Linked DNA regions of Oryctolagus cuniculus. The protein of the gene in region 2 interacts with the protein of the main gene of each other region in a pairwise test. Links are inferred from orthologs where the notes say so. Each region holds a gene or a part of one and is shown on either strand. Other genes may lie near its edges.

The links. The genes of interacting proteins can lie anywhere in the genome.
Region 1: the proteins of DHX15 (region 2) and RBM5 interact in binary tests that used the Homo sapiens proteins (3 or more experiments, as listed by UniProt). The link is inferred for Oryctolagus cuniculus from reciprocal best matches to the Homo sapiens genes DHX15 and RBM5.

Annotation. Positions count from the first base shown.
Region 1 is NC_091441.1:99,195,343-99,198,998, reverse strand, and holds part of RBM5 (RNA-binding protein 5), read left to right. Parts: intron 1-2,000; coding exon 2,001-2,061; intron 2,062-2,320; coding exon 2,321-2,386; intron 2,387-2,641; coding exon 2,642-2,802; intron 2,803-3,571; coding exon 3,572-3,656. UniProt on the Homo sapiens protein: Component of the spliceosome A complex. Binds to ssRNA containing the consensus sequence 5'-AGGUAA-3'. Regulates alternative splicing of a number of mRNAs.
Region 2 is NC_091433.1:19,757,233-19,760,888, forward strand, and holds part of DHX15 (ATP-dependent RNA helicase DHX15), read right to left. Parts: intron 1,868-3,656; coding exon 1,649-1,867; intron 1-1,648.

The DNA.
Region 1 (3,656 bases), on a different chromosome or scaffold from region 2:
CTCCTGGCTTCAGATAGGCGCAGTTCTGGCCGTTACGGCCGCTTGGAGAGTGAACCAATGGAAGCAAGACCTTTCTGTCTGTCTCTCCCTCGGACTGTCTGTAACTCTACCTCTCAAATAAATAAATAAAATCTTTAAAAAAAAAAAAAAAAAAAAAAGCCGGCGCCGTGGCTCAATAGGCTAATCCTCCACCTTGCGGCGCCGGCACACCGGGTTCTAGTCCCGGTTGGGGCGCCGGATTCTGTCCCGGTTGCCCCTCTTCCAGGCCAGCTCTCTGCTATGGCCAGGGAGTGCAGTGGAGGATGGCCCAGGTGCTTGGGCCCTGCACCCCATGGGAGACCAGGAAAAGCACCTGGCTCCTGGCTCCTGCCAGGATCAGCGCGGTGCGCCGGCTGCAGCGGCGGCCATTGGAGGGTGAACCAGCGGCAAAGGAAGACCTTTCTCTCTCTGTCTCTCTCTCTCACTGTCCACTCTGCCTGTCCAAAAAAAAAAAAAAAAAAAAAAAGATCCAGGTTCTAAGATCAGTATTTGGAAAATGGTTAAGATGCCACATACGATGTTTGCATCCCACGTTGGAGCTGCTTTGAGTCCCAGCTCCTCTGCCTCAGGTCCGCCTTCCTGCTGATGTGCACCCTGGGATGCAGTGATGATAGCTCAAGTCCTTGGGTACCTGCCACCCATTTGGAAGTCTCAAATTGAGTTCCAGATCCCTGCCATTTGGGGAGTGAACAAGAGGATGAAAGATATCTTTGTATATGTCTGTTTCTATGCCTTAAAAAAAAATTAAAAACCCAGATTCTAAGCCCAATATTTAAATTACAATTTTAGATATGTTTTTGCTTTATTGAATTCTAGAGCTCTAAATTTGTGGCATAGTCTCCTAAATTGTTCTAATAAAATTTCTTAAGAACCTTGCTAAAGTAAAATCTGCTATGGTCCTCTCTCAAGTGCACCATTTTGAACTTGGTGTTGGCATTGTTGTTTTTGAGAGTGCTTAAATTCTTTATACGCTTCCCCTTCCAGTAGGTGACCAAATAGTCTTCATGTTGGGTTTGTTTATATTGAGTGGTGCAATAAATGCTGTCTCAGTATAAGGAAGAACTTCACCAGTGGCTGGCTATAGGTTGTTTTAGGTTTGTTTGTTTATTTGTGATTTTGTTTGTTTGTTTTGCTTCTTATTTGAGAGACTCAGACAGAACATTCTCTGATTCATTCTCTGAATACTCAGAATGGCTGGGACTGGGCCAGGCCAAAGCTCAAAACTTAGGCTAGTTCCCCTGCATTGCTGCTTCCCAGGGTCTGCATTGGCAGACAGGTATCCAATAAACTCAGGCACTCATTTTATATGGGCATCTCATCCCTAGACCAAATTCCTGCCATTTCTGTAGTTTTTGATTGTGCTGAAACCTTTTCCCAACTGGATAAAAATAATTAAAAATACAACACAAAAATTTTGAAATTCACATAGTTGGGACCTGATATTACGGTGTAGTGGGTAAAGCTATGCATATCCCATATGGGCACTGGTTTGTATCCTGGCTGTTCCACTCCCAATTCAGCTCCTTGCTAATGGCTTGGGAAAGCAGCTGAAGATGGCCCAAATACTTGGGCCCTTGCACCCATATGGGAGACCTGGAAGAAACTCCTGTCTCCAACTTTGGCCTGCCACCACTGTGGCTGTTGCCACTTGGGGAATGAACCAGCAGATAGAAGATTTTCTTTGTAACTCTTTAAAATAAGCAAATGAATCTTTAAAAATTCATATAATATTCTGAATATTTAGCTTTTGCCCATTTGTCTCAGAAATATGTCAGTTTCTGATATATATGTGTGTGGGTGTGTGGGTGTGTGTGTGGGTGTGTGTATATATATATATATATGTAGTATTTACCCATGTTGCCATTGCTCTAATCCACATATCAGTGGAAAGCCTGGCCTAATATAATAATAAAATAATTACCAAGTCAGGAAAATAATTACAGATTTTTTTTTTTCCCCAGTGCTGGCTGAACAATTTCAGGAAAAGACTAAAATGCTTCCGATGTGGAGCAGACAAGTTTGGTAAGCGTGGTTTTAGCTATTTGGAATGTGCATTAAAACTTGTCTAATTGGATTATTGTCTGTGAGTCTGGTCATGGCAGTTCTGTTCTGGCCCAAAATTTCATCCTACATCAACCGTGTCATAATTATTGAGGCTTTGCTATAGCCACAAATCCTTAAAAAAAAAAAAAAAAAGACTGATAGATGTACATCAAATTTACTGAAAATACATTGGTGTTTGTTTGGCTTGCCTTCATTGGGTGACTTTCACTTCTTCCAGACTCTGAACAGGAGGTGCCCCCAGGAACCACAGAGTCAGTTCAGTCTGTGGATTACTACTGTGATAGTAAGTTGAAATGTGATCTTTTGGCCTGTGTATTAAAAGTTAACCTCAGTTGGAAATTTTTGTTCTCACCCTTTTGAATCAGCAACAGCAGCTTCAGGTTGTCCCATAAAAGATGAGTTTTAAGAATCTTTTCTGTGTCCGGGTAAAAATATTCTAGGAACCTCCCCAAATGGATGTGTTGATACTTGAACCTGCCTTGAAAAGCATTGATGGTGGGAATGCATTTAATATGTCATTTTTTTCTTTCACCCCTAGCGATCATTCTTCGGAACATAGCCCCACACACTGTGGTGGATTCCATCATGACAGCGCTGTCTCCCTATGCGTCTTTAGCTGTCAATAACATTCGCCTCATAAAAGACAAACAGACCCAGCAGAACAGAGGCTTTGCATTTGTGCAGCTATCTTCTGCAATGGTGAGGTTCTCATTGAATCTTTGCTATTAAAAGAGACTTTAAGAGGCAAATATGGGCCGGTGCTGTGGCTCACTTGGCTAATCCCCACCTGTGGCGTCGGCACCCCTGGTTCTAGTCCCGTTTGGGGCGCTGGATTCTGTCCTGGTTGCTCCTCTTCCAGTCCAGCTCTCTGCTGTGGCCTGGGAAGGCAGTGGAGGATGGCCCACGTGCTTGGGCTCTGCACCCACATGGGAGACCAGGAGGAAGCACCTGGCTTCTGGCTTTGGATCGGTGCGGCACACCGGCCGTAGCAGCCATCTGGGGGGTGAACCAACAGAAGGAAGACCTTTCTCTCTGTCTCTCTCTCTCTGTCTGCCTGTCAAAAAAAAAAGAGGCAAATATGGTTCATCCAACTGTGATACCCTTTATGAGGCTCCTGGAGCTCAATGTGTGAGGCTATATAATGATGATTTTTCATTGCTAAATTGTGGAACTCTTTATGTTGATAAGTAGTAAAAATGTTATATCTGAGAGAACTGCCAGAACTGAAGATTGAGCATGCTTTATTCCTTTGAGCTTTGTTTTAGATTAATTTTCCATTTAATAATACCGGATATCTTCATATCCTGTAGGTGTTTCTTAGTGTTTCATGTCCACAACACAATAAGGAGTCAGTGCTCTTTTGTTTCTGTTTTCATAGAAAGCTGTTTCTTTTGGATGGATTAGATGATGAGGAGAGACTTTGAATAACTTCATAGAATTGTTTTTTGCTTTTCATATTCTGCTTCAGGATGCTTCTCAACTGCTTCAGATATTACAGAGTCTCCATCCTCCTTTGAAAATTGACGGAAAAACCATTGGGGTTGATTTTGCCA
Region 2 (3,656 bases):
GGCATAGCGGATAAAGTTGCCACCTGCAGTGCCAACATCCCATATAAGCGCCAGTTGGAGTCCCAGCTGCTACACTTCCAATCCAACTCTCTGCTATGGCATAGGAAGGCAGCAGAAGATGGCCCAAGGACTGCACCCGTATGGGAGACCTGGAGGAAGCTCCTGGCTCCAAACATTGGAACAGCCCAGCTCCGGCCTTTGAGGCCATCTGGGGAGTGAACCAGCAGATAGAAGCTCGCTCTTGCTACCCACTCTATCTCTGCCACTGCCTCTCTGTAACACTGCCTTTCAAACAAAGAAATAGTTAAAAGAAAAAATTATATTCTGGAAAATTCACAAGGCCCATGAGATCAAAAGAAAAAAAGCTCATAACAATCTCTATGAAATGGTTTCCTAAAATGTTGTTTTATCCAAATAGCTTTTCTTGCATTTAGCCTTTGAAGAATTTAATAGCATACCTATAAATGCCCTGCTGTAAATAGAAATAGTAGGCAGGCACCGCGGCTCACTAGGCTAATCCTCCACCTAGCGGCGCCGGCACACCGGGTTCTAGTCCCGGTCGGGGCGCCGGATTCTGTCCCGGTTGCCCCTCTTCTAGGCCAGCTCTCTGCTGTGGCCCGGGAGTGCAGTGGAGGATGGCCCAGGTACTTGGGCCCTGCACCCCATGGGAGACCAGGAAAAGCACCTGGCTCCTGCCATCGGATCAGCGCGGTGCGCTGGCCGCAGTGCGCCGGCCGCAGTGGCCATTGGGGGGTGAACCAACGGCAAAGGAAGACCTTTCTCTCTGTCTCTCTCTCTCACTGTCCACTCTGCCTGTTAAAAAAAAAAATAGAAATAGTACACTTGTGGGGCAAACACTGTAGTCTAGTGGGTGAAGCAGCCATCAGCATCCCATATCAGACTGCCAGTTCAAAACCCTGCTGCTGTTTCCTATCCAGCTCTCCATCAATGTGCCTGGGAAAACAATGAAGATGGCTTAAGTACCTGGCACCCTGCCATCCTTGTGGAAGACCAGGATGGAGTTCCTGAAATCTGGCTTCCACCTGGCCTAGCCCAGTCCTTAATGCCATCTGGGGAGTAAACCAGCAGATGGAAGATATCTCTGTCACTCTACCTCTCAAATGAAAAACTTCTGAAAAAAGAAAAGCTACTACACATGAAAATCTGTTGTCTAAAAATGAAGTTCTAACTAGGAAACTTCACTGATCCCTTCAATCCTCAGCACATGCAAAAGAACGAACAAAAAGAAGACAAACATTTTGAGGGTGGATGGACACCTAACTTCACTCATAACCAAAACAACCAATTTTGAATTGAAGAAATGCATGATTTTACAGGAGCTGGGATTCCAATTCATGCATCAGCAAAATAACACAACCCAGGCTGCATCAAAATTGATACAACTGCTAAATCCTGAAATTCTAAAAGCACTTAACACTCTTGCTATAATTAACACAATCAGTCGCCAAAGAAAAAAAAATTTCCCAGAGTACATAAATAAAAGGGTCATGTTTAATATGTTAGTACAATCAGGTTGAAGAAAAACTTCAAACAACGGGATAAGAAAAATATAGTTAATATCTAAATCAAGGCCGCTGCTTGATAGAAATGTGTCAAAGGCTATTAACGAAGGAAACAATGACAATACCTCTTGACCAGTTAAGAAAAGCAGAAGATCTCCCTCCTCCTCTTCACACATATGAATCTGGATCACTGTTCGGATTGCTGCTTCAAGATAATCTCTCTCCGGTTCTGGAGTATAGAAGATCTCAACAGGATGTGTACGCCCAGGAATAGTTAAGAGTGGACAGTTATCGAAGTAAATCTGGAATTTTCCTGCATCCAGAGTAGCACTCATAACTATCACCTGAAAGAAAACAGTAAACTACTTGAAATTGTCTTCAAGGGTTCTTACATGGTCTCAAAAAACAGAATAGTAAAGGTAAAAATATTTTCATTGTTATCTATTATAAAGCTTAAAAATTTCAAATACACTGTGATTTAAATATCAAATGCAGAAAAGCCTGAACTACAGCAAGTTATGTTATTTATTACAAATTATTTAAAAATTTTAAGTAAAACATTAAACATGTAAATTTACATGAACCAACACTTTCAAAACCAAAACTTGGGGACCCGCACCATGGTGGCACAGTAGGTTAATCTCCACCTACAGCACCAGCATCCCATATGGGCGCCGGTTCTAGTCCCCAGATGCTCCTCTTCCAATCCAGCTCTCTGCTTTCGCCTGGGAAAGCAGCAGAAGATGGGCCAAGTCCTTGGGCCCCCCGTACCCACGTAGGAGACCGGAAAAAAGCACCTGGCTCCTGGCTTCAGATCAGCTCAACTATGGCCGTTGTGGCCATTTGGAGAGTGAACCAATGGAAGGAAACCTTTCTGCTTCTCCTCTCACTGTCTGTAACTCTGCCTCTCAAATAAATAAATAAAATTTTAAAAACAAAACTAGCTGGTGCCGCGGCTCAACAGGCTAATCCTCAGCCTAGCGGCACCGGCACACCGGGTTCTAGTCCCGGTCGGGGCGCCAGATTCTGTCCTGGTTGCCCCTCTTCCAGGCCACCTCTCTGCTGTGGCCCAGGAGTGCAGTGGAGGATGGCCCTGCACCCCATGGGAGACCAGGAGAAGCACCTGGCTCCTGCCTTCGGGTCAGCGCAGTGTGCCGGCCGCGGCGGCCATTGGAGGGTGAACCAACGGCAAAGGAAGACCTATCTCTCTGTCCACTCTGTCAAAAAAAACCACTTATGAAATTATATGTCAAAGGACTGATAAGATAATGTCAGAAAATATTCAGTCAGCTTTAAACCCTTAACACGGCAACCCTGGCCAAGATCTAAGCGGTATAGGAGAGAGAAAAAAAAAAGGAAGACACAAGTGTAAACAAATGTCCTTCTGATGAGTGCTTGTCCTGGTAGTTGTTCCAGCGTTATCAGTGATTTTGAGGGCTGAGATGACAGGAATCTGAGCAACAAAGACACTGCTTAAAGAAATGAGCCCTCTTGTACGTAATGAAGGGATGAAAGACAAGGTGAGCAACAGTTACAAAAATATGCTAAAAGGGGCCAGGACGGTGGCATGGTGGGTAAAGCCACTGCCTATGGCTCCAGCATCTCATATGGGCACTGGGTCAAACCCCAGATACTCCACTTCTGATCCAGCTCCCTGCTAATGTGCCTGGGAATCCAGAATTAGATTGCCCAAGTGTTTGGGCCCCTGTACTCATGTGGGAGACCTGGAAGATCCTGGCTTCAGATCAGCCCATTCCAGCCCTTACAGCCATCTGTGGTGCAAAGCAGCAGATGGAAGCACTCTCTTTCTCTCTGAAACTCTCTTTCAAATAAATAAATTAATTAATATGCCAAAAGAAAGGATCAGAAACTAGTAAGATATGCCATAAAAATATATTACTGGGGCCGGTATGTGCTCTAAGTTACTGCCTGCAACACTGACATCCCACTTGAGTGCTAGTTATGTTCCTAGCTGTTCCACTTCTGATCCCACTCCCTGCAAATGCTCCTGGGGAAGCAGTGGAAGACGGTCGCAGTATTTGCGTCCTGTTAACCCATGCAGGAGACCTGGATGGAGTTTCAGGATCCTGCTTCGGCCTTGGCCCAGTCCCAGGGTTGTGGCTATTTGGAGAG